3 linked regions of the Lonchura striata genome follow. The protein of the gene in region 3 purifies or fractionates together with the protein of the main gene of each other region. This does not show direct contact. Links are inferred from orthologs where the notes say so. Each region holds a gene or a part of one and is shown on either strand. Other genes may lie near its edges.

Evidence for each region. Proteins that work in one complex are often made in the same cells at the same time.
Region 1: the proteins of SRF (region 3) and MRTFA purify together in Homo sapiens (affinity purification with western blotting; 4 studies listed by BioGRID and IntAct, with this or other methods). This does not show direct contact. The link is inferred for Lonchura striata from reciprocal best matches to the Homo sapiens genes SRF and MRTFA.
Region 2: the proteins of SRF (region 3) and MYOCD purify together in Homo sapiens (affinity purification with western blotting; 3 studies listed by BioGRID and IntAct, with this or other methods). This does not show direct contact. The link is inferred for Lonchura striata from reciprocal best matches to the Homo sapiens genes SRF and MYOCD.

What each region holds. Positions count from the first base shown.
Region 1 is NC_134607.1:24,737,762-24,745,719, forward strand, and holds the start of MRTFA (myocardin-related transcription factor A), read right to left. Parts: upstream 3,477-7,958; 5' UTR 3,008-3,476; coding exon 2,881-3,007; intron 1-2,880. UniProt on the Homo sapiens protein: Transcription coactivator that associates with the serum response factor (SRF) transcription factor to control expression of genes regulating the cytoskeleton during development, morphogenesis and cell migration.
Region 2 is NC_134621.1:1,673,653-1,681,210, reverse strand, and holds the start of MYOCD (myocardin), read right to left. Parts: upstream 3,477-7,558; coding exon 3,437-3,476; intron 1-3,436. UniProt on the Homo sapiens protein: Smooth muscle cells (SM) and cardiac muscle cells-specific transcriptional factor which uses the canonical single or multiple CArG boxes DNA sequence. Acts as a cofactor of serum response factor (SRF) with the potential to modulate SRF-target genes.
Region 3 is NC_134605.1:18,594,964-18,603,092, forward strand, and holds the start of SRF (serum response factor), read right to left. Parts: upstream 3,260-8,129; coding exon 2,813-3,259; intron 1,492-2,812; coding exon 1,225-1,491; intron 1-1,224. UniProt on the Homo sapiens protein: SRF is a transcription factor that binds to the serum response element (SRE), a short sequence of dyad symmetry located 300 bp to the 5' of the site of transcription initiation of some genes (such as FOS).

The sequences.
Region 1 (7,958 bases), on a different chromosome or scaffold from region 3:
ATGTGCACACAGTTCGTGCATATCAGATGGCATGCAGGAACTTGTTCTGTGTCTGGGCTCTGAGATACAAATCTTGGAAAAAGACAGGTGAGTTTCACTGTCAGGCCCCGAGTCACACTGAATGTTTTTGAAGGGAAGAATTGCCAAAAAAAAAAAAAAAAAAAAAAAAAAAAAAAAAAAAAAAAAGCATAGCACAGATGTACAGAAATGTAGTACAGGAGTGGAAAAGTTGCAATTCAGTTTTGAAAGTACTTAATAGTACTTAATTCTGCACTAAACTCATGTGAATGCTAAATGGGTTTTGAGTAGCTTTCTGCAATTCCCTCTTCATATCTCTCATGAGGGGCTACCATACTGTTGTGTTAACTGATGTAGGAACTGCAAACTGGGCTCTAGTATTTGAAAACCAAATCACTCCAAGGCATTCTTGAATAGAAAACATGTTTATGGATTCCTAAATTCTAGGAATTTTGCAAATAACTGCCCTAAACACATATTTTGAATAATAGAAGCTTAAGTTCTTTGACTTCTGCATGTCAAATCCGTATCTGTGTAGAAAGGATCACCAAATCCCAAACCTCAATGTCAAGTCCTAATTAAAAAAAAAAAAAAAAAAAAAAAAGAAAGAAATCAGATTTAGGAGACATCTGTTTTCCAAAAATCAGGAAGCAATATGTAGTCTATTCCAGATAGCTGCTTCTCATGAGAATCATTAAGAGAATAGATGAGCATTGTCAGCGTTAGTATAAGCCCTCATTCGTCCAGTTTTATTAAGAGTCAGGAAGAAAAATGCATGATTTTTCTGTCTTGGTGGCAACAAAACTAAGCTGTCCCATTTTTAGGGGGATCAAAAACTAAGGCACAACAGTCATCAGTCTCAGCTCAGTGCTAATTCTGGACTTCCATAAGGGTTTACACGTGGATGCATCTGTTCCTCTGCTGCCTGTAAGAACTGGCTCTGCAAAATACAGTGCATCAGTGCATGCTACAGAATAAATACAACAGGCATCCCAAAACTGCAGGGGACTTAAATGGAGCAGCAGCAAACCTAAAGTGTTATTATTTTCTTCATCTGACAGAAAAGAAGCTGGCAGCATCTATTTCTCTTTCCTAACCTTCATTTGGTAGCTGGTGGAAAGCAGCTTTCCTTATCACATGTGACATTAGAGCATCATAAATTAGCCATGGGGTAGGCTGATGGTATTGCTGGCCTTTGCAGAGTCAACACAGCTTTTCCAATAACCAGAATTACACCAGATTTCAATGGCCTTAATTCAATTCAACTTGAGACAGCAACAAACCTTTTTATATTGATTAAAGTAAGACAGAATTGCTTTTTCCTTGTTGTACATGTTATCCCACTGTACAGCTTGTCATATTTAGTGATTGGATGAAAGATGTATCCTGGTACATCCAAATGCAAAGTGCTCACCTTCTGTGAAAACCAATGCTTGCAAATACAGGACAGACACAAGTTCTGGCTTTTTTTTAATTTTGGGTTGTTTTTTTCCTCTGAAGATTGATGTGCTGCAGCTCTATGTCCCCAAAGCAGATAAAGAAATCTGGGAACACTGCCTGTACTAATGGATTTATAACTCCTGAACTTGAATTTGAGGACTAGGAGTTCAGTTTTCTTTTCCTTCTCCATATAATTTCAACAAAGAATATTCCAATGAAAACATGCAACAAAAATAGTAATATTTTTAAAAAAATAACGATAAGGTAGCTCTTGATAGATGTTAAATACGCTTGGTAGGGGGAGTGACAATTGGGGGCAGAAACCTAACACTTTTGTCTGGCAGCCCCAGCAGGCCTAGACTACGTACCAGAGAAAAATACTCTAAATGCAACTGCTAACATTTTCTTCCACACACTGGCCATATTTATGCAACAAACATGGTCTTATTCTATCTAGATTATTGTCCTCAACACCTACCCCTCCTTTATCTTGCTTTGCTGTGCAAAATGTCAGAAAGTTATTTTCCCCTCCTTTCAGATGACATTACTCGCTCTTAAAATCAGTCATCACCTTATTCTGAGGCACTGTACTCCAGATCATTGTTTCCTTCTGCAAGTTCCTACTAAAATTTCACTTGTAGCTGACAAATCCAGTATTTCTGATAAAACATAAACCTTGCTGCTTGCCATTGGCTTTTTGTGATGTTCTGCCATTCTTCCCTGTAATCTTTTCCCAGTTCCTGTTTGCTGATATTTATAATGCTGTGCACTATGAATGGATCACTGCCTGTTTTCATCTTCTCAATCTTTTTCAGTCCCTCCAGATCCTCTTCTTTCCTTTTAGACTCCCTGGAATCTGACCTCTCTGTGTCTACATAATTTTTCAGAACTGTTAAATCCTTGTTAAAAAATCACACATATTTGCAGAATACCATCAACTAAGACAAGATCACATTTAGATACATCCACAACACTCCTTGAACAGTCTTAAAAGAAGAACATAGAGACACTTAAAACATGGTACTCTTATCTTCTTCAAGGCACAGTTGCCACTCCAGAACAATCCTTTACACCTTTAATGAAATAGCCTTAAAATGTTGCTCACAACAGGCCTACAGATGTAAGGGAAGTTTGAACCCAAAATTTCTAAATGTAATTGTCTCAAGATCCCAGCACTGCAAGTCACTTCATACAGAGCTCCAGGCTTGTCGAATGATGTGCTTGAATGCCCTCAGGGACAAGAGGTCACAGGAGTCAGTGGGAAACCCAAACTCTGGACTATTGCCCAGAAAGCAAAAACAGGCAGATTCAATATGCAAGAGGGAAAAAAAACCACAACAACACAGAAAAAAAAAAAACAAAATAAAACCCCCACAAATGAATTATACAGTGCCTACAACAAAGAGAGCAGAGCCTGCTGACCTTCTCGTAAGCTGTGGTATGGATCTTGATATGTGCTTGAACAGCTCTCCCCTTGCTTTGACACAGTCTCTGCGAGCGGCACAATCCCGACATAGGCAGGCTGCAGTGTCTTGGCTTTATCCAACATATTAGAGGAAATCCCTGGACCTGAAGGCGGATTCTGTAACACAGGAGGCGTCCAGGCAAGTGGAAGGGGTGCTTGATCCTCACAAGAGACCCAACTACAATCCCTCTCTACCAGGTTTCGGTCACTGCACCAAGCGGTAGAGCAGAAAAAAAATCAATTTACTGCTAGATTCCAAGGCTGTGCTTGCATCAGAACAGAGAGGTTCTGTAGGCACAGACAAACCCTGACAGCCAACATCTAAAGATTAAAACCAACAAGGCTCTTGGCAAAATTTTTCTTCCTATGATCTCAAAGCTCAAACAGAAACTTCACTGTTTCAGCAAGCAGCTATAAGCATTTGGGCAGCAATACGCAGAGCACTGCTTATCAACAGATGCGTGGACTTCTTTGTGGGGCCACTTGCAGTAACAACCAACCTCATTCACCCAAAATAGTGAACAGTTGGTTCCTCTACTCACACTGCAGACACCTGCCAGACAGGCAATATCATGTGATTGAGCAGAACCCTCTCTCCCCCTGCATCTCCCGACTGTAAGCATGCTGTGCACACAGCTAGGAGAATATCCCTGCTCTGAGGGCAGAAACTAAATGCTTTTTCTCCCTTCTACCTTAAACCCTTAGAAACAAGAGTATTAGCTGTGGAGAAAGCTAAACTGATAATCCGAGAAATAGAGTCTTCATATGCATTTGCCCTGAGACCGCACACAGGTAAGAGCAGGCTACTTCTGTGCAAGCACATATTCTCACCCCTTCTTCCCTTAAATCCATTCTCCCAACCTAGCAGAAACTCCTACCTTAAGATAATCTGCAGCCCCAAGTCAGTAAACCTCTACTGCAGGCACTAGAACTTCAGAATCTGTTTTTGTATGGGGGCATCCACCTCAACTTTAGCTTATTTCATGTGTATCATAAACAGATGCCACATGGCTGACAAATTTTGATTATACACACTGCCCAGCATGGTACTGGAATTGGAAGTCACCAGGGGAAGACATGTTCCATCTGAACAACAACCAGGAGGTACTCTCACCAATACAGCTGGTAGCTTTGTTGGTTTTTAATTTTGCTAAGCATGAATCATAAGAAGTACTATGAAGTCTGGAGTTTAAAAAAAAAAAAAAAGAAGAGATATCCAACGATCACATACCTAAAAAAAATATTCTTGTTATCTTTCCAGAAAAAAAAAATATATAAATATATAACCACATGGACATTGCAAAATTAAAAGATGAATACTCTAAACACTACAGGAACAGTTTCCAATTCATATTCTGTTCCCATCAAGATAAAATTTTCTAATTTCCAAATAGTTTTAGAGGCATTCAAGCCATTTTCTAAAGCAAGGCTGGAATTACAGTCAGGGAAAAAAAACTTCTCTAATAATGAAACTAATATCTAAGAAAAGTAGTGTTCAACCAAATGCTAGATGGCATCAGTGACATTTCTGAGTACTTTTAACAGTGCTTTTCTTACTTTGAAATGTTCAACCTTCATCCAGGAAAGAATCCAAACCCCAGTCTTCCTGTGAGTAAAAAAATTACCTTTGGTGATAATATAAAGCTCTGTAATTGCAATACTCCTGAATTACCACCATATACTCAAGAAAAATTGTCATCTTAATTTTAGGATTTGTAAAAGTCAGGTGAAGGTTCAGTCTTCCCAGTGAACTTCAGCCAGCAAGGTCAAATTACTGCATAAATAGAAGAGCCTGTTTTTGTGTGAGCATTAGCAGCCACAGCACTGTGGAGACCTGCCTTGGGAAAGAGACTCAGCACACCACAAGAGTTCTAAAGACTGGATGAAGGAGAAGATAAAGAAACACATTGTCCAGATCTCCCCTTTCAGCAGCAACACAAAACACATTGAGTCAGGCCTGATACTCTGAGCAGGGAGGTCCAATAATTGCAATAACTAAAGAACAATTACTCAGTGCCAGACCCAGTTCTGCTTTTCCTGGCAAGACTATACCATTTAGATGGTAAAAATTACAAGATTCAGCTACAGAGGTGAGGACCTACTATAATTTTGCCAACCAGGGCCTCTGAGTTAGCAGGTCACTACAGCATACAAAACCTGAGAAACATGAGCTGGCTGTTCATCCAGCAAACCTGCCAATACCCAGGTATTGCCAAAACAGCACTAAGACATTGTCCAAGTTCTGATGAAGAGAACTTTAAGAACTGATGAAGATCTGATCCTTTCAATGTATTACTGCAGAGCTGCAGACATGTACACAGACACACCTTTCTTTTTCCTATGCAGAAAGCATCTTGGATAGAAGAACACTTGACTGGCTCAATGGTAGCTAGGTAAATCTTTTATTTGCTGAGGAAGATACTCTAAAATTTTGTCTCACAGTATCAAATTTCTCCCACACCATTATTTAGTGTTCTAAAAGAAGAAGTAATTATCCGAATTATCTGGGCCACAGCACTCCAAAGAGAACATGGATAATGTTCCCCATGCTGTAAGAAGATAAACTCCAAAGGGCTTAGTTTAGAGGATACCTTCAACACACAAGCAAGCACTTCTGGGTTTTCTCCTTGCAAAACGTGGAATCTAAGAGATAAGTAAAGCCAAGAGCAACCTGTGTTATATGAGACATTGATACCATTTTTACTGGTTTATAAACATAAAAAAAGGTTTTAAAAGTTTAATTTGCTTTACTGGATCCTGATGTACTGGTAAGAGATCCAAAAGTCTGATCAGCAATCACATGGACAGAAATATCAATGCACTGTAAGAAGTAACTTTGACAGTTGCTCTGGAAATTAACAGGGTAGATTGGAAAACCCATTTCACAGCTGAGGTAGGATTTCAACAAGTTTCAGTTGCTTAACTACTCCAGAAAAGTAGGAGCAACCCCACTAATGCACACTCAACATTCAGTGTCTTGCACAACTTTTACCCTAGAATTGGCAGAAGTACTATTGGCAAAACAATCACCTTTACCAAGGGCACCTAAGTATTTGCCATAGATTTCTCATCTGAAAAACATCAGGCCCAGTTTTCATAATCTATGCATGAGACATGAATAGAGCTGCACATCCTCTAACTTTCAAGTGTGAAATAAGATGCAGAATGTGGGGATGTATTCTTCCCCAAGATGCTGCATCAGGAGCACACAGGCTTACACAGCTACTGCTACCACTCAAAGTAGTGAGTAGGTAGTGGTACCTCAAATACACACAAATTTTAATGAATTAATTTCTTGTCTCTTTCTATCTTTAAAAGCCAAGGGAAGGGAGAGAGAGGCCACATCAATTTTAATAGAGGGCAGACCTTGGATGAACTCACCTGTAACACAAAACTCCACCATTAGTTTCTACCCCCCCCCCCCAAAAAAAAAAAAAAAAGCATTTTTAAATTCAAATTATCAAGCAGATAGAAAATATGTTCATAATCTCCACCACCACCTTCCTCCTTTCACCTCCGTTCATCTCTGCAATTCAATGCAGGTTCTCCTCTTTCCCCCAGTAACAATGTTCTCACAGGACACAACGCCTCCAATGATCTGCATGCACATAATTTAGTGATTAAATATAAACAATGTACTGCTAAAAACTTACTCAGACAACATGAGAGAGATCTCAGGCAAGGTCTAAGCCAGATAAATCCTAAGAAAGAAGTACGAGACCACTACATTTGAAGATCTGTCTGAGATGTCTAGCAATTACACAAAAGCTGGGAAAATAATAGAATGCTACACTACATCACTGTGAAGCCTTAATGTCTCACAACTCAATTCATTTTATATTTCAAAATAAATACAGACTGCACAGTGACACTTGTGTTGCTTACTTCTCAGCTAGAGATCACATCTACGTAATGTGAGTTCGCTGTGGATATTCCCAGGATCCACCAACAATGCCCCCCACCAACAATGGCCTTTAGGAAGAGGAAGAAAAGCGAGGCTGGGAGCACTGTACATTTTTGCTTCTCCAGTTCTCAGGAAGAGTCTGATATTTACCTCCTCTTATATTTTCAATCAGCTGGTGACAGCCAGTGCTGCCATTCAGCATTCAGAAAACTCCTAGACATGACAGGTAGCCAGAGCTAAACCACCATGCAGATGTGAAAATAGGTCACAGCAGCCAGAATCATGCCTGGGAACCTGGACTTTTGTTGTAGCTTTTGAGCAGCTCTTCAGTCCTCCAACCCACTCTGGGATATACCACCACCCCTGCTTTTGGCAAGTTGGCTGTCATTGAGCTGTAATTACTGAGAGTTGAAAGCATAAAAATAGCTGCTGCACAGGGTGGAAAACCTATCAGATGATGTCAAGGCCAGTTTTGAGCCCTCCCTTCCCCCCACCTCCCCCCCTCCACTTCCTTTCCTATGTCACTTTCTCATTACCTCACTGTCTCTAATTCTGAAAGTGCTTCTCTCTGCATCTTTCAGCTGTCAAAGTGAACTTTGCACAGCAGCTAGAGCCAAATCAACCCCCAGCCCATATATAAACTCTGCCACCCACTCCATTCCTTGGGATTCAGCCAAGATGTCAATTTGCCTTTCCCTGAAAACACAAAGCACATGAAATCCTCGATCCCTATCTGCAAAACACAGGACCAAGAAGAATCAGTTGAGCCCAAGGAATGCAACTCTGATCTGCATTTGATTAACTCCATAGATAAGCAGTTTCCAACCAGCAAGGCAAGTCAACATGGTAAGTGAGGTGTGGAAAGGCAGCAGCAATCCCATCCCCCTTTGCTAACAATGAGTAACTCAGCCCTGCCTCTCTCCCAGGCTCTGCAGACCTGAGGAGCAAAGTGCCCCACAATAAAGCCAATTTTTTTTATTTTCCCACCTCTTCACTCCTGATGTTAGTACTGCAAAGAGACTCCACAAATATTGCTACAAGGGCTGAAAAGAGGGAAAAGAGAGAGGAAGGGAAGCAAATATGTTGGTTCACTTATGGACCCTGGCTCTCCTCCTTCCTTCCTCCCTCCAG
Region 2 (7,558 bases), on a different chromosome or scaffold from region 3:
GGGCAGGGTGTTCAGAGGGTCTGGGCATGGCAGGGTCAGTGCCTGCCCCAGCAACAGGTGGGTTAAATACGTGGTTGCCTCCAGGAAGCTCCAGATGGACGTTGTGTCCCTGCAGAGCTACTGAGAAGTGACCCGAGGGAACCTGCCCTCCCTCAGGGGTGGCAGAATGCAGCAAGGAGCCCAAAGTGCCCCCAAAAGAGACGGTGCTGGCAGAGAGGCCTGGGCAGCCCAGCAGAGCTCAGCCCCACCCCAGCGCTCGCAGAGATGCTGTTCCCCACAGCATTCCTCTTCCCCAGCCCTGGCACACCTGGCATTTGTGCAGCTTTCCTCTCAACTGGCTTTGTGCCTCATCACTCCCTGTCCTCCTTCTCCTCATGGCTGGGTACCAGCACAACAAAAATCAGCTACTGTCTCCCCTTCCCTTAGATTTCCTTCCAAAAATGAACTTTTGTATGCCAAAGCAGGAAAGCATGGAAGAAAAAGGAAGGATGAACCCTGGGATCACTTCCTGACAGGCCTCCTGGAGCTGTAGCCAGTTTTAATTTACATTTTCACAGCTGTGAGAGGGGGCAGTGCCATCTTTCTGCTTTGGATCCTCACAGCCCTGGGCAGAGCTGAGCAGTGCAGAGGTGGAGGCTGGTGGCATCTCCAGGGGATTCTGGATTTGTGCCTGCCCCTGCTGCCTCCACCTGGGCAGGAACAAGACCTCGTGGGCACAAGCTTTGCCTACAAGTGTCACAAGTGCCACCAAGTGCCAGGACCTCTCCCTCCACACACTCCACCAGCCTGTGGTTGGTGTGATGGGGTTTGTTCCATCTGGCTGGCACCACCTGCATCCCTGCATCCACTGGAGGACAATTTTCAGCTGCTGGATGATAAATATCCTCTGGCTGAGCCACAGGACCCAGTTTGGCTCCCTACAGCTGCCCTGCCTCACCTCTCCAGGGGTTTTGACCCTCTGCAAGCATTAGCAAAAGGAACATTTCACTTGTGGGGCAGCAGAGCAGCACTGGCACCCTGGCTGAGCAGTGACCCATTCACAGACACATTGATAGCCCTGCTCTGCCCCAGAGTCACCTCAGGATCCCGGATAAAATCACAGCTCCCCACTCCTGCTCCTCCTCCTCCTGCCAGGCTGAGCTGCCCTCGCCCTGGGCTTTACTGAGCCCACCAGCTCCCCACCCCAGCCACAGCTCCTCACTCCCCACGCTCCTAAAACTGCACACAGTTCCTAAAAATTCACCTGTCAATTTTTCATGGCAAGGCCAGAGCAGGAAGAGGCTGGAGGAGGAGGGACACCTGCATTGTGCAGGGACATAGTATAGCTGAAGGGGCTGAGGAGCCTGGGGAATGACACCAGGACAAGAGATCCAGAGCTGCAAAAACCCCTCTGTGATGGACAGAAGTCATGGAAAAACAAATATTGCCTGTGGTGAGCGTGGCTGAGGAGAGGATGTAGCAGAAAAATGCCCAATATGTGGCTCTTTGGAGCTCTGGGAGACCATGCCCACAGCAGCTCCTTGCCCAAACACAGGGCAGAGCCACTTGCCCATCTGCTGCTGCCCAGTGCCATGGACCCTGCCTGGCCCTCCCTGCCCCAGGGGTGACACAGGAGCCCTGGTGGCCCTGCCCCACCCTGCTGGGCTGGGAGAGGGCAGCTGGGGCCAGCAGCATCCCGCCAGCAGCCAGCAGACAAAATGTCCCTAAATCTCAGTCCCCCAGGGAAAAGAAACCCTCTCCATCTGCTGGGGCGGCCGGGTCAGCCCACACTGACCTCTGCTCACAGCCTTGGCCCGAGGTTTCTTGACACCGAGAGGCAACGAGCAGAGCCCAGTGTGGAAGAATAAACACGGCCTGGGATACCCAAATTGGGCTGGGAAGGGCCGGGACACTTTGGGTGCATTTCACAAGCCTTTAGATCATTCACACTGGGGCACAGGGGTCAGGGCTCTGGGCGCTGGCCCAGGCGCCAGGGTGAGCTGGCCCTGCTGCTGGCGCGGGCAGGGGTTACACAGCTCCTCTGTCTGTCCCTGCCAAGCTGAGGAGATCCAGCAGGACAGGCCAGGGCTGCCCTGGGGCTGCAGGAGTGGGCAGGAGAGCCACAAAGCAGCAGGCAGTCTCTGACATCCCAGGAATCAGGCCTGGAGCTCGTCCCCCACTGCTGGGGATGGGCAAGGGGCTCTGCCCTGGGTTTGGGCAAGGAGCTGGTGCTCAAGCACTGCTGCACCACAGCTTATCAGGCTCTGGGTCCAGTTTTGGGGAGGAGCTGTTGGTTTTGGTGGGTCCCCATCCCTGTGTCACCCTGTGCCACCAGCTCAGGCAGGGCTGGCAGACCAAGGGCAGCCCCGATGTCCTCCCCATGTCACAGCACCACCTGTAAAACACATTCTTTCTGAGCACCCCAAGAGACTTTCTCCTGCAAACCCTTCCAGACAAACCCAACTTCTTTAGCTGGCAATACATAAACAGTTTATCGGCTTTGCGCATTTGCAGTGCAGCGGGATGGATGTTGTTCTTGGAATTCTGTTTGGTCATAATATTTAGAAGAGGGCTCTGATAGCAAAGATAAGCAGCTCGCCCACAGCAGATGGCTCGTGAGACACTCAGCGGAGCCAACATTCTGTGGGGAACGAATAAACTTGTAATGCAAGTTGTTTGTAAGTGGTTTTAGCTAAATGTCACATGTAAGACTGCACAGACATGCTCTGTCCAAGGTGTTTGAATTTATAGGAGCGAGGATTCAAAGGCAGGGGCCAAATTTGCTTTTAAACTTCCTTAAACAAATGTACAGAGGATAAAATACCTCTGGATTTGCTCTTGGAGCAGGGGTGTGAGCAAGACAAAGCCCATCCCTCGCAGCAGGTCCTGGCCAAGGGGCTGTGCCTGCCACCATGCCCAGCCTGGGCTGGGGTGAGGCAGGGCACCGTGACCTCCTGAGGTCCCCCTGGCCCACATCCACTTTATGAATGGCCTCTGCTGTGCTGGCTCATTCACCTTCCTGCAGAAGGGAGGCAGGGAAACGTTCTCCTCCCAGGGAGCACCCAGGGAGCTTTTACTTCATTCTTATTTTCTTTAGCCTCTTTTTCTTTATCCTCTCTGACCGCACGGCGAGGCTGGGAATGGGTCCTCACACACATCCAGAGCATCCCAGAGCTGAGCTCCTCCCTGGCAGCCAGGGCAGTGTCTGTGCTTGGCACAGGAGATGCCCAGAGCAGTGAGAGCCCAGAGGAGGCAAAACCATCCTCGCTCACAGGGCTCTGTGCTGTGCATGCTGTGGGTGCTTCCAGTGCTGCAGGGCCGGGCTGGGGCTCTGTGTGGAGCCTGGGGAGAGCAGTCCCTGCCCTGCCAGCCCTCTCCTGGGAGCTCTGCCCACTTCACCTGCTCCGTCCCTCCTGGCATGGTGACACAGTTGTGCCCAACAAAGGGCACAACTCACCCCACTGCTCCTGGTCACTGGGAGCGATGGTGCTGCCCATGACTACCCACCCCACTGTGCCCCTGAACCAGAGCTTGCCATGATGCCAGCCTGAGCACCCTGATGTGCAGAGCCTCGCCCTCAGAATACAGAATATAAATAAATATGAAGCAAATGGAGGTTTTAGGGCAGAGGCTGGTCCTTCTTCTTCACCTTCTCCTTCTATCTTGTTCTTCACCTTCTCCTTCTATCTTGTTCTTCACCTTCTTCTTCTATCTTGTTCTTCACCTTCTTTTTCTATCTTCTTCTTCACCCTTTTCTTCCTTCTTCTTCACCTTCTTCTCCTATCTTCTTCATGCGTTTGGGTGGTGTTTTGTGATTGGGCAGAAAAGTCCTCATTGTGGACTTTGCATGATTAGTTATTAGGTTAAAAGTGAAAATAATTTAGGTGTCATTTCTTAATTAGATGGTTTAGCCTTAAAAGGCCTCATAACAAGAGATAATTAGCCATTTTGTGCTTTGTTAGTGAGATAGTGCAAAACTCACTGCTGTGAGACTGTAACAATAGATAAGAAATAATAGATAAGAATAGATAATAAGATAATGGATAAGAAATAATAAACACCTGAGTCTGAGCACAAGCTAGCGTCTCAAGTACCTTCAATCCCAATCTCAACAGAAGAAAAAAGAAGCAGAAAACCAGCACTCTGACACAATGAAAAGGCTCTTTTTGCTGCAGTCTGGGGTGAAAAGCACACAGAACAGGGTGAAATGTATTTCTTCTAGGTTTTGCTTTAAAGGCTCCTGCACAACAGCGCAAGGCCTGTGCAGTGTGGTGGAAAATCCCAGCACCAAAGCACGAGCCCGGCTGCCTGGAGGGGCTCAGCCCAGGGCCTCCTCTCACATCACTTCAACACCCAGAAGGGACTCCAGGACCAGCCACTCGGGGTTCAGAGCATCCAACAAAGGAGAGAGGCTGAAGCCAAGCAACATTTGTCTTGTCCTGTGTTGCATGAGTTAATGAACGTGGTGTTCCCACCCCTCTCCATTCATCCAGCCTCCCCCTTCCAGTACTAAAGAGTCACCCAGGTCAGGCTGCTCTGGGATGTCCTCACGCCAGAGCTCCTTGGAAACTCTTTGTTTGCAAAGTCACCCTCCTGCCCCAACAGAATAGTCTTGGGCTTCTCTAAGTGCGTCTCATAATTGTCTAAATTTATGAGGCCTCTACTGAAATGTTGAAGACAGCATTTAGAGTCCCTCGTTTCTCGTTCTGTTTAATCCGTTCCCCTTTTCCCTGGGTTGTGATTCCAGCTCAGCATGTGAAGCTCTGCCATTGCCAACAGGCTCTTTCATTTCCAAAAGGAGGCAGCCCAGCCTCTCTGTGATTCTGTTCCTTTCCCTCTTGAGGTGCCTCTTCACCTTTTTTACAAGTTTTTTACAAGTGGTTTAATTAGCAAATTAACTGCAGGCTGGGCATGGATCACCATGCACAGTGAGCAGTGGGATTGAAATTCCTTTGGCCAGCAGGAGGGATGGTCTGCTTGCCCTCAGGATGGGCCCAGTGTCCTGACACATTCAGAAAACCTCACCTTCTCTGAGGGCTCCTCAGTAGCATCAGTCCTACCACCTTTATCTCCACGCTGTCACTCTCTGAATGACGGATTTTGGCTGAAGGTCACAAATTTATCGATTTTGGTGAAGGGGTCGAACTTTATAGCCAGAGAAACACCAAAGGCAACAAGCTGTGGGTACCCCAATATTGGTATTTCACCCTGAGGCTCCCATGGAGCACTTTCCCTCGGCACAGTCTGATGGTGTGGGTGATTCATGATCCTTCACCAGAAAATGCTTTAACTGCATTTATAGCAGCAATTTAACTGAAACAATGGGATTGGTTCACCTCTGAAATGAGACTTGACAAAGGATGCTCCTCTACACGACTCCTACCCGTGCTTGTTTCTCCTGCAGTGGGTCCTGCTGCTGCAGCCCCCCTCCCTAGAGCACAGGGGTCTGCCACCCCTCCATGGCCCTTCGGCCACCCCAGGACCCTCCCCAGCTGCAGCAGCCGTGGCTGGGCAGGGGCAGAGGCTCTCTGGAGAGCTGGGAGTGAACCAGCAGCAGAGGACTGCCCCAGGACATGGCAGTGACACTGCCTGAGCCCCTGCAGCTGCAGGAGCAGCGGTGGTGCCTCCAAGCAGCAGCTGGAGCAGCCACAGAGCAGAGCTCAGCTGTCCCCCCCTGCCCCAGGAGGGTCCCTCCCCAGCTGGGCTCCTTCAGAGCCCTGCCAGCAGCTCTTGCTCTCCACTGAGACGCAGCCATTGAACAATCCCTCTCTAATTGGCATTGTTTGCTAAAATTAAAGCCCTGCTCGGTGAAGCACGGCCAGGAAGACACAGCTCCCCCAGGGCTTGGGCCGTCCCCGTCCCTCAGACCGCTGCCCTCGTGCTTGGCCACGATCCTGCTGTGGGAATGCCCGGGCTGGTGGTGGTGGCATGGGCAGGGACAGCTCCTCACTGGTGACATGAACCCCCAGGTGCCCACACTGGCACAGCTGTCCTGGCAGGACGCTGTGAGCACCCAGAGCACCCTCCCTGCCCAGCAGTGTCCTGGGCTTTGGGTCCATCCAGGATGGCACCTTCCTTCCCCCACGTCCCCAGCAGTAACCAGCACAGGGACGCTCCTCTCCAGAGCAGGGCAGGAAGGCAGATAGCAAACTTTGCATGCTGAATTTTCTACAACTAACTATAAATGGTAAAAACTCAAAGTCTTGCTTTCTCTGGAGGTTTTCAAGCAAAATAACCCCAAGAACGGCAGCTTTGACTTTTATTCGGATGAGAAAACATTCTTTTATTTTGACATCATCTTTGTCCGTTTTTATCATAGGGATAAAGTGTCTTTTATCTGGACACAATGCATCAAGTTGCAGGGTGAGTCATAAAGTGAATCTATAGGATGGAGCCAAGGTGCTGCTCTGGGGCAATGTCCAAATGTCACGTCGAGGTACGAGGCAATAAACAGCCATCCCTGCTCTCCGAGGAGCCTGCCTGGGGAGAGGTGTCACTTCAGAGACATCCCCATGAGCTGGGCACGCTGAGTGAACCTTTCTCACACCTCCTTAATGCAGCAGGGATGTGGGGGGGTCCCTGTGCCCTGGGCTGCCTCACAGGCGCTGGCAGCAGTGGGAGCTGCTGTGGGGTGATGCCCTGTCAGGCAGGGTCAGCTCTGTCAGCCAGCACTTGGCAGGATTTCCATCTGCAGCACGCTCTGAGTTCAGTGCCAGCCTCTCGGAGGATTGAGGAGCACACCAGAAAGCAAAATGACTTGTTTTTACCCTCAAACTGGTCCAGCCAGCTGTAGCGGGGCAGGGGGCTCACAGGGCAGCAGTAATGGATAGGTTAGGCTGGGAATGTGTTCTGCTCTGGGGGGTTCCCCTCCAGGGATGCCTTTGGATGCTGAGTGAGAGGAGGGTCCCAGGGAACACGGGGAGCTGTGGCTGCTCCCAGGAAGCAGGGCTGGGTGAGCAGCAACATCTGCACTGACTGCAACCAGCAGCACAGCCCAGCTCAGCCCGGGGCAGGAACACTAAAGCAGGCACCTCTTGCACCTCTGGGCTCACAGTGGCACTCAGCCTTTACCCACTCTCTTCTCAGAGGGGTCTTCTGCTCCGCAGGGCCCCTGCCCACCCCTCTCCACTCTTCCAAAGCTGCTGGATTAGGATTCAGAGGTGAAAGCCCAGCAGGAAACGCTTTGATACCAAGAGACCGACCAGCCCAGGAATGTTACAGGATTTTTCCGTGGCTGTTTCTTCTCAAGCATGCACACAAGCAGCAGCACTGGGTTATGCAACTTTGTGCCTCAGTGCCTTTAGCAGCTCCAGGCAGGGAGAAGGGGCGTTATTTAGAATACCCCTCATTAAATCAGGCTGAGGAATCAGGACTGGCACGAGCAGCAGGACTTGCAAACGACATCCATTCCAAATGTTCCCACTAATTAGCACACCACAGCATCTTTCCAAGAACAAGGGAAGCTCTGACAGCCGTGGCACTGCAGTAACATGTAGGCTGATGGAAGCGTGTGTCCTGAGGGTGGGTGGCCAAGCCCTCGTGGATGTGGCCTGGCTTGGCTCACAGCACGGCCTGACCA
Region 3 (8,129 bases):
TCTGGGGCTGCTGATGAGTCTCAGGGCTCAGCAGCAATAAGCCTTTGCTTGGTGCAGCACTGCACATATGTGGGGAAGTGGACATTAAGGAACAGGGGGTACCCAGCAGCACCATGACCAGAGCTGTTATGCTGTCATAAAAACAGGCACCTAAATACCCCAGCAGCCCCAGACATTTTGGGCATATTTCAGGGCTGCACTCAGTACCTTTGCAATTACAGCAGAGGTTTCCAGGTTCTGTCTGCTTAATATCTAGAGGCTACTGCACGGCAACAATGTTGTGGCTTGAGCATGGACAGCTGGAGGGCTCCTATGACAAGGACAATGGAAGAACACTTTTGCAGCAAGCCTAGTACCCATGACACCAGCACAGGTACAGCAGGGCTGTTCTAATTCCCAGCACCCAGCAGAGCTGCACACAGGCCTGGGAAGCTGTGGCAGAGCCCTAAATTCAGCATGCCATCCCACCTGTCTTGCACCATAAAATTTCCTGCCTCCCATCTCCAAGTACCTATGGATCTGAGCATCGGCCTGCAAAGGAAGTGGCAGGGATGTGGGACACAGCTCTGAGGAACAGCAACAGGGAGTGCAGAGACAAGAAGGGGCCCTTCCAGCAGAAAAGCTGACTCTGCCCAACCGTTCACCCACAGCCAGGCCACCCTGGGCAAAAGGCCACAAGTAACACGGGCAGGCAGGGGCCAGCGTCTGCAGGGACAACAGGCAGGGAGCAGAAATGGTCTGTCCAGCCAAATGTTTCCATTCCCCATGTCCTCCCTGCCCCCTTCCAAAACAGCACCAAAGCAAGAGACAGCTGCAGCTTATAAGGAATGTGAGGGGCCCTGCCAGGGACTCTGGCGAGGGAAACCAGGCCTTATAAGGCCATGGAGGCAGAATCAAATTTTTATCAATGAGTGTGAGAGCAAGGAGACGCCTGGGGAGAGATAACAGTGCTGAAAGCTGGCCAGGGGGGTGGGCTGGGCCAGTGGGGAGCCATGCTGCAAGGGCCAGGACCAGGATACCTGCCACGCACTTCCCTCCCTCTTTCAATCACTGCTGCTATCAGCCACGGAGCCAGCCAGCACAGAGATGACATGACACAAGCTCGCTGCAGTCGCAGCAAAAGGGGATTCATCCTCAGCGCCCAACACTGCTATTTAAAGAGGGCTGGGGATGATCAGGGCTCCCAGCACAGCCCACACCTCCCTGAGTGCCCAGGAACATTACCTTGGTCTCCCCGCTGCTGTCCGACTCGGACACCTGGTAGGTGAGGTCCGTCTCCTCAAAACCAGTGGCACTCATGCGCTGGTCAGTGGTGGGGTCCGAGCGTGGGGGCGAGTCCGGGGAATTGAGGCATGTTTGGATCAACGCCTTCCCCGTCTCGCTGGTGATCATGGGCTGCAGCTTTCGTGTGGCAAACGTGTACACATGGCCCGTCTCGCTGGCCACCAACAGCAGGACTTGAGTGCCAGTTAGCGTGGAGAGCTCATAGGCCTGCCAGCAGGACAAGGAAGAACAAGGAGTCACAGGTGACAGGGACAACAGACAGTGCAGAACAAAAGTCTCTGCATGTCCCCACGTTCCCACAATGGCTTTCTTTCTCTTCACACCAGCTTCAGCTCCCTGCCACCCCAGAGGAACTGTGGCCTCTAAAACCAACTGGCTCCCTACAGACTGAACTGCCCCGTGCTGTGCTCCCATCCCCTTTAGCACACCCCTAGGAGATGTGCCTGCCCAGACGCCATGGATAGAGTGCTCCCCTCAGTACAGAAGTCTGATAACACTGGAACACAGGATTGTCTCCATTCTGGAAATCCCACTAGCTTCTCCAGACATGTCTGGATGCCTCCCTCACCTCACCTCTCAGTGATGTTACTTGGCACACGTCTCTGCTACCTCATTCCCCTCACCAACACCCCATTCAGGCTCCGACCCAGATTCTCCTCTCAGGCTCCAGAACTCTGAGCACAGCTGCACCCAAACAGCCCTGCAGTAAGGTCACTATGCCCCAGGTGAATACCTGTGGACTAGGAGGTACACTCTTCATATGCTATCACTGCACACTCAATGGTCTCACACAAGCTTCTACAGACAGGATGGCCTCATTCCACATCCCGTAGTCCTGTACCTCCGGGATGTGCCCCAGCAGTAACTCGCACCCATTTCTACCTTCCCAGAGTGCATGATGTCCAGCTGAGCTGCTATGCAGCACTACCCAGTTGTTCAAAAGATGCTATAAGCATCACCAGGGATACAAATCCGCCAGCAGCACCCAAAATCCCCCAGGTTTCTAATCTGTCTTTGCACACCGGGAACCACGGATAGCACTCTGGACCGGCCGAAGCAGGCAGTCCTGCCGGGGACAGGGCAGGACAGTCCAGCTGTGCCACCAAACATTCGGCGTTTTGGTGGTGGCTCACAGCGAGGAGCCCCGAGGGCACCGGTCAGCTCTAGCCCGAGTCTGGACGCTGCACCGGGATGGGCCTCCCGGAACACATCACACGCCTGGGGACCGCCAAGCAAACAGACATCCCCCGGCCCCGGGGGCTCCCGCTGCCGGTCGCCCGGCTCCCTGCCCGCAGCTCCGCCGGGGGCTCCCGCGCAGCCCCCCGGAAGGGGCTGGTGCCCAGCCGCCTCCCCGTCCCGCGGGCGGGGAAGCCGCCGCCGTTTCCGGGCACAGCCCGCTGGCCTGCTCGGCGCTCGGACCCGGCCGGGACTCCCACGGACAGGTGGGTGCCGGCCAGCATCCCCGCCCGGGCCGGGCCGGGCCGGGCCGGGCCGCCCCCCCGCGCCGGCCGGAGTCGCGGGGCCGCACCTTCTTCATGATGCCGGTTTTCCTCTTGCTGAAGGTTGTGTAGCGCCGCAGCTTGTTGTCGATGAACTCCATCTTGATCTTCACCCGGCCCCGCGTCTTCTTCCCGGGCTTGGCGCCGCTCACGGCCCCGCCGCCCCCGCCGCCGCTGTAGGCGGCCGCCGCCGCCGCTCCCGCCGCGGGCCCCGCCGCCGCTGCCGCCGCCGCCGCCTCGGCCAGGCCACGCTTCACGCCGCGCCGCTCGCCGCCCAGCTCCTCCTCCTCGGCCGACTCCGAGTCGCCCTCGCTGCCGCTGTACAGCGCCTCCCGCTTTAGGCAGCCCCCGGGCGCCCCCGCCGCCGCCGCCCCGCCGCCGTTCGCCCCACGCGGCACCGGCGACCGGCCCAGCCCCGAGCCGCGGGCCAGCGCGGCGGCGGCGCCGTTCCCGGCCCCGGCCTGGCTCGGCAACATCGCGGCGGCGAGCGCGGGTCGGGTCGGGCCGGGTCAGGCCGGCCCCGCCATGTCCCCGCCGCGCTCCGCGCTCACGGCCCCGCTCCGCCGCCGCCCCCGCCGCGCCGCGCCGCCCCCATATAAAGCGATACAATGTTGCCTTTTATGGCGAAGGCGCTCCTTATATGGGGCGAGACGGCGCCCCGTCGGGAAGCGTCACCCCATTGGCTGGCGGCCGCCGAGCGCCGGAGCCCATTGGCCGTCGGTTGGCGTTTGATTTGCATACGGTCGGACCGCGCTCGCGTCACGCCCGGGTTGGAACACGCAGGGCGGCTCTTAAAGGGACCGCGCGGCCGGCCCGGGGAACGCGGCGCTCGGGCCGGGGCTGCGGCGGGGCGGGGACGGGACAGACCGCGGGCTGCGAGCGAGCTGGGACATCCCGCTGTCAGCCCTGCCTCGGGCCCCTTCCCACCGCCAGCTCCGGGCACGCGGGTCCTCGCAGGGGACACACCACGTGGCTCAAAGATTGCGTGCCTCGCCAGCCTCAGGATCCAGCCAGGAGCGGCTCCGCGCCACCGCGCCTGACTGCCAGCGATGCCACCAGCTGTTGCTCCAGGCAACTCCGCACCCCGGCTGCTGTCACAGCCCGCAAGGGAAAACTTGCCGTCCATTTGTCTCCGGTGGCTGCAGTGGCACCGAGAGGGTGTGGGGGACACGTGGGTGCCCAGGGGCATGCAGGGCACAGGACTGAAGCAGATATGTCCAAAACACGCATTGCTGAGGCACGGGCTGATGACTACTTAGCAGAAAAAATATCTCCCGTTTAACAGGATGGGCCGCAGATACCTTCAAGCCCGCAGGAGGCGAGGCTGGGGTTCTGTACCACCGCCATCCACGGGTGGGACAGAGCACCTGTACAGGCGGGAAGGGGCTGGTCTCACCCTGGCTCATGCCCATCCTGGCTCTGCACATCAGATGGCTCTGAGCATTTTGGCACAAGTCACATCCTCTGTGCAGGTGTGACCCAGCACCTCCAGAGCAAAGGGACAACCGTGTGCAAGGCACACTGCGTGCGGGTCAGCAAAATTGTGAGAGGAATAGCACAGCCCCAGAGCTCCAAACTGTGAGAACAGAGAATTCTTAGTTGAGAAAAAGGGTCCTCCCACACGCTGTGCTGCAAACAAGAACTGCAACCCAGGGCAAGACCCCACTTCTGGAAGCAGCAGTCCTGCCACAGACCCATTTTGTCTCCCGGGCACCCCATGGAGAATTGTGCAGCTCGCACAAGCCCTTTCCATATCTGCCTCACCACTCAGAGGACACACACGCTCAGCACCAGCCCTCACAGCTGTCCCCCACAGCCCAGGCCAACCTCCTACAGAGCAAGGGAGTAACTGCAAACCCAGACACCCCCCTCACTGCCACCACCGCCTCCCCCTCCTCCCGCCAGCCATGCTCCTCCAGTGAGCACACATGCCATTTATAGCTCCAGCAGGGCTGCTGGAGCTCACATGCCTCCCATCACATGCCCTGGCCACCCTCCCTTCAAGCTGAGCACAAGCTACACCTGGCACAGGTGAGACCAAGGCCTCGCCATGTCCTGCCAGGCTGAGAAAGGGTCAGCAGGACCCTCAGCCTGGCTGGGGTCACCAGTTAGGCTGGGAACAATGAGCACATGGATCTGATAGCCACAGGCAGGACAGTCAATGCAGGTAGCAGGATTTGGTTTTCTCTTGTTCATGGAACAGCTACACACTCTTTTCCTCCTCTTCCCTGGGCCTTCCAATTGCAAGGTCTTTTGCTTCCCAAGTTGCAAAAATGTCTACACAGGCAAAAGGTGAGATCTGGGTCATTGTGGGCTGGTTCATCCCTTCTGCTCTACTCCTTTCCTTCCTAAGCCTCATCCTGTGGATCCTTTCCAAGATGTCTGTCCTTGTGCTCTGAACAGGCCTAGAGCTTCAGCCTACCCCAGCTTCCCAGGATGCCAATCTCTCACCAAGGCTATCAGACCCACCCTGGAGAGCCAAGCCCTTCCCCAAGCCACCATCATCCACAGGACACAAGTTTACCAGCAGGTCCTCCCTTAACCAAACCAGCAGCCACTGACAACTGGAAGCAGCTTAAAGCAAGTTTTCAGCCTTCAAGGATTTTCTCATTTACAACCCCACATAATAAAATTCCCATTTCTAGCCCTGTTCTTATGCAGCTTTAGGGCACAGCACTTGATACGATACCTTAAAAGTCTCTTACCTGATTTCCCCCAAAGTTCCATCCAGACAAGCTGCCTGACAGCTCCACGGGAGCATGGATCCTGCTGCCAGCATGACACCCACCCTCTACCTCCCCTTTTCAATCCTTCTCTAGGCCATTGCAACAAGTGCTTCTTCACCCTTTTCCAGCTCTTCATCCATATTGCAGCTGGGTGCTGGGGTTGTGATGGTTTCCATCCTGTTCCTGATCTTCCTGCTATTGATATCCAGCTGCTTTTTCTGACTGCTGCTGAATACAGTTAGCTGCTCATTTTTTTAACAGCCAGATCTCTTCTATGAGCAGTAACAACTAGAACAGAGGTACTGTTGCACATGCAAAACTAGGTAATAGCCTTTATTAATTTTTAATTTTTTTTTTTGTTCAACACACAGGTGTAAGAATGGGGCTGCTCCCTGAGGAGTGACTCCATGTCCTCATGAACAGGTATAAACCCACAGTACATGAGCAGAGCAGCAACAGGTGTTGGTATCAGGAGCCATCCACAGAGCAAACCATGGACTAAATCCAGCATCCACTTGGTTGTGAGATAGAGCCAAAATCCTGACTGGATAATAAAGCTACCACATATGCCTACAAGACAGGGCTAGAGGCAAGGCCAAAACACGAACACCTACAAACTTGCTTAAAACAAACCTGAAAACACAGGCTTGAGCTTAAATGCAGCTCAGGAGTGTGAGGAAGTCCCAGGTGAGGCTGCTCAGGACAATTAAGACAGTTTCCAAACAAGTGCCTGACACAGCTGCAGAAGACCCAACGGGCAGCAGAGGAAATCAGAGCAAACCAAAAAGCCCTTCCTCAAACTGCATGGCACTCACAGACCAGGGGTGCTCAAAGGGTGCAGCAGTGCAGGGAGAATTTGGATAATTTCAGGGCAAGAGAAAACATCAGGGACTGCCAGAAATGTCTGGTGGATGTCTTTGTGCTTTAGGGAGTTCTTCATTGGGACTAACACTCATCTGCTTGCTGTTCTCTTACACCGCTCTGTAATGTTCCTTTTTGGTCACAGCTGGTGGCTCTCTAGGTGGACCTGTGCTCTGATGGAGCCATCTTTCTGGCCCTGGATACCACACATGGTCTTCTGTAAGATGTTCCTTCAGTTTGGGCTGAGGCAATTGGATCCCACCTCTTCTCAACTGCCTACATGCTTTCATTCTCCTTCAGTGGCTCTGATTCCCTGCTCTGCTCCACCGCCTCTAGCTGGGACTGTATTTGCTCAGATTGCTGTTTCCAATTACTTTGGCCAACATCTCTCCCCTCCCCAATTTTTTCATGACATCACTCCCAAAAATACACAATGCCAAACCCCATCATTCTGTACTCTTTGGGTCTGGAGTTTATCCTAGCTTTGATGGCTTTCCATTTGGGTGCTTCCCTGTAGTCACCAGGTCTTGACTGCATGGCAAACAGGCCATGGAGCTTCCAGGATGTGTTGGGATAAAGCGGAGCCCCTAATTCTGATGCTGCTCACAGAACCAGTTCCCTGCACCCATGCTATATCCTCCCACCACACAAGATGCCTGCATGCATAGAGCTGGCAGAACGAGGGTGGTATCCCCAAAATCCTTGGCATCTCTGGTCTTTAGCCACGGCAGAGCTGAGATTCTGCTTGGCTAGGCCACCACAAGTGGCTTGGCTGCAGGAATCAGCCCACAGAGTGCAGTGTTCCTACCTGGAAGGAAGGACAGCAGGCAGGAAAGTCCACAGGAATGGAATGGATGTGAGAAGTGGAACAAAAGGACATCAAACAACAGCAAATTCACAAGACAGGTCACTTGCAAGTTGGAGAGCACGTAAGCAGCAGTGCCACAACATTCACACACTTCAGAAGGGTTGCACACACACTGGGAGGGACTGGGAGAGCAACAAGAGGGACATGAGGCTGCAAGGGGCAGAGAAGGAAAGGCACATCCTGATCCCTCTGTCCCCAACAGGTCTGTCGAGCATGCACAGTGCCACCAGCCCCACTCTGTGGCCAGGCTCTCTGGTCATGGAAGCAGCCAGGGGTCAGGGTGGCAGTCACCTGCTGCCAAGCCTATTACACCAGAGAGCACCAGGTCCAATGAACCAGACCTGGTTGTCCTCCTCTAGAGTGGGGCACAACAGCCAGCCATTGCCACAGCTGAGCTTGCCAAGAGACCTTGGCTTGGGGAGAGTCCATATCTCCCACCTGCAAGTGTTGGAAAAAGGACAAACACCTTTGATAACTGGCAGAGCAACTGCCAGCAAAGTTACCTGCACCCAGTTTCCAAGCCTAGACCAAATCTGAGCTCAGAGTCAGCTAGCATATTCCAAGAAATGACCACTTTTCCCCCTCCAGCATCTCCATAACCTCTTCGGGTACGAGAGATGGGAAGAGGATCCTGGACATTTCTGGTCCATCCCTGATTGAAGCAAGGCAAACTACACTGGGTAGTTCAGGACTTCTCTGGTCCAGGACTGGGTATTTCTGATGATGATGATGGAGATGCCACAGCTTCTCTAGGACTCATACCTGTATTACCCTTGAGGGGAAGCATTTCCCTTAATACCTAGAATGAATGTCACTTGTGCAGCTTATGCCCTCTACCTCCCATCAGGCCTCCTGCAAAAGCTCAGATCCATCTATATAACCCCTCAACAC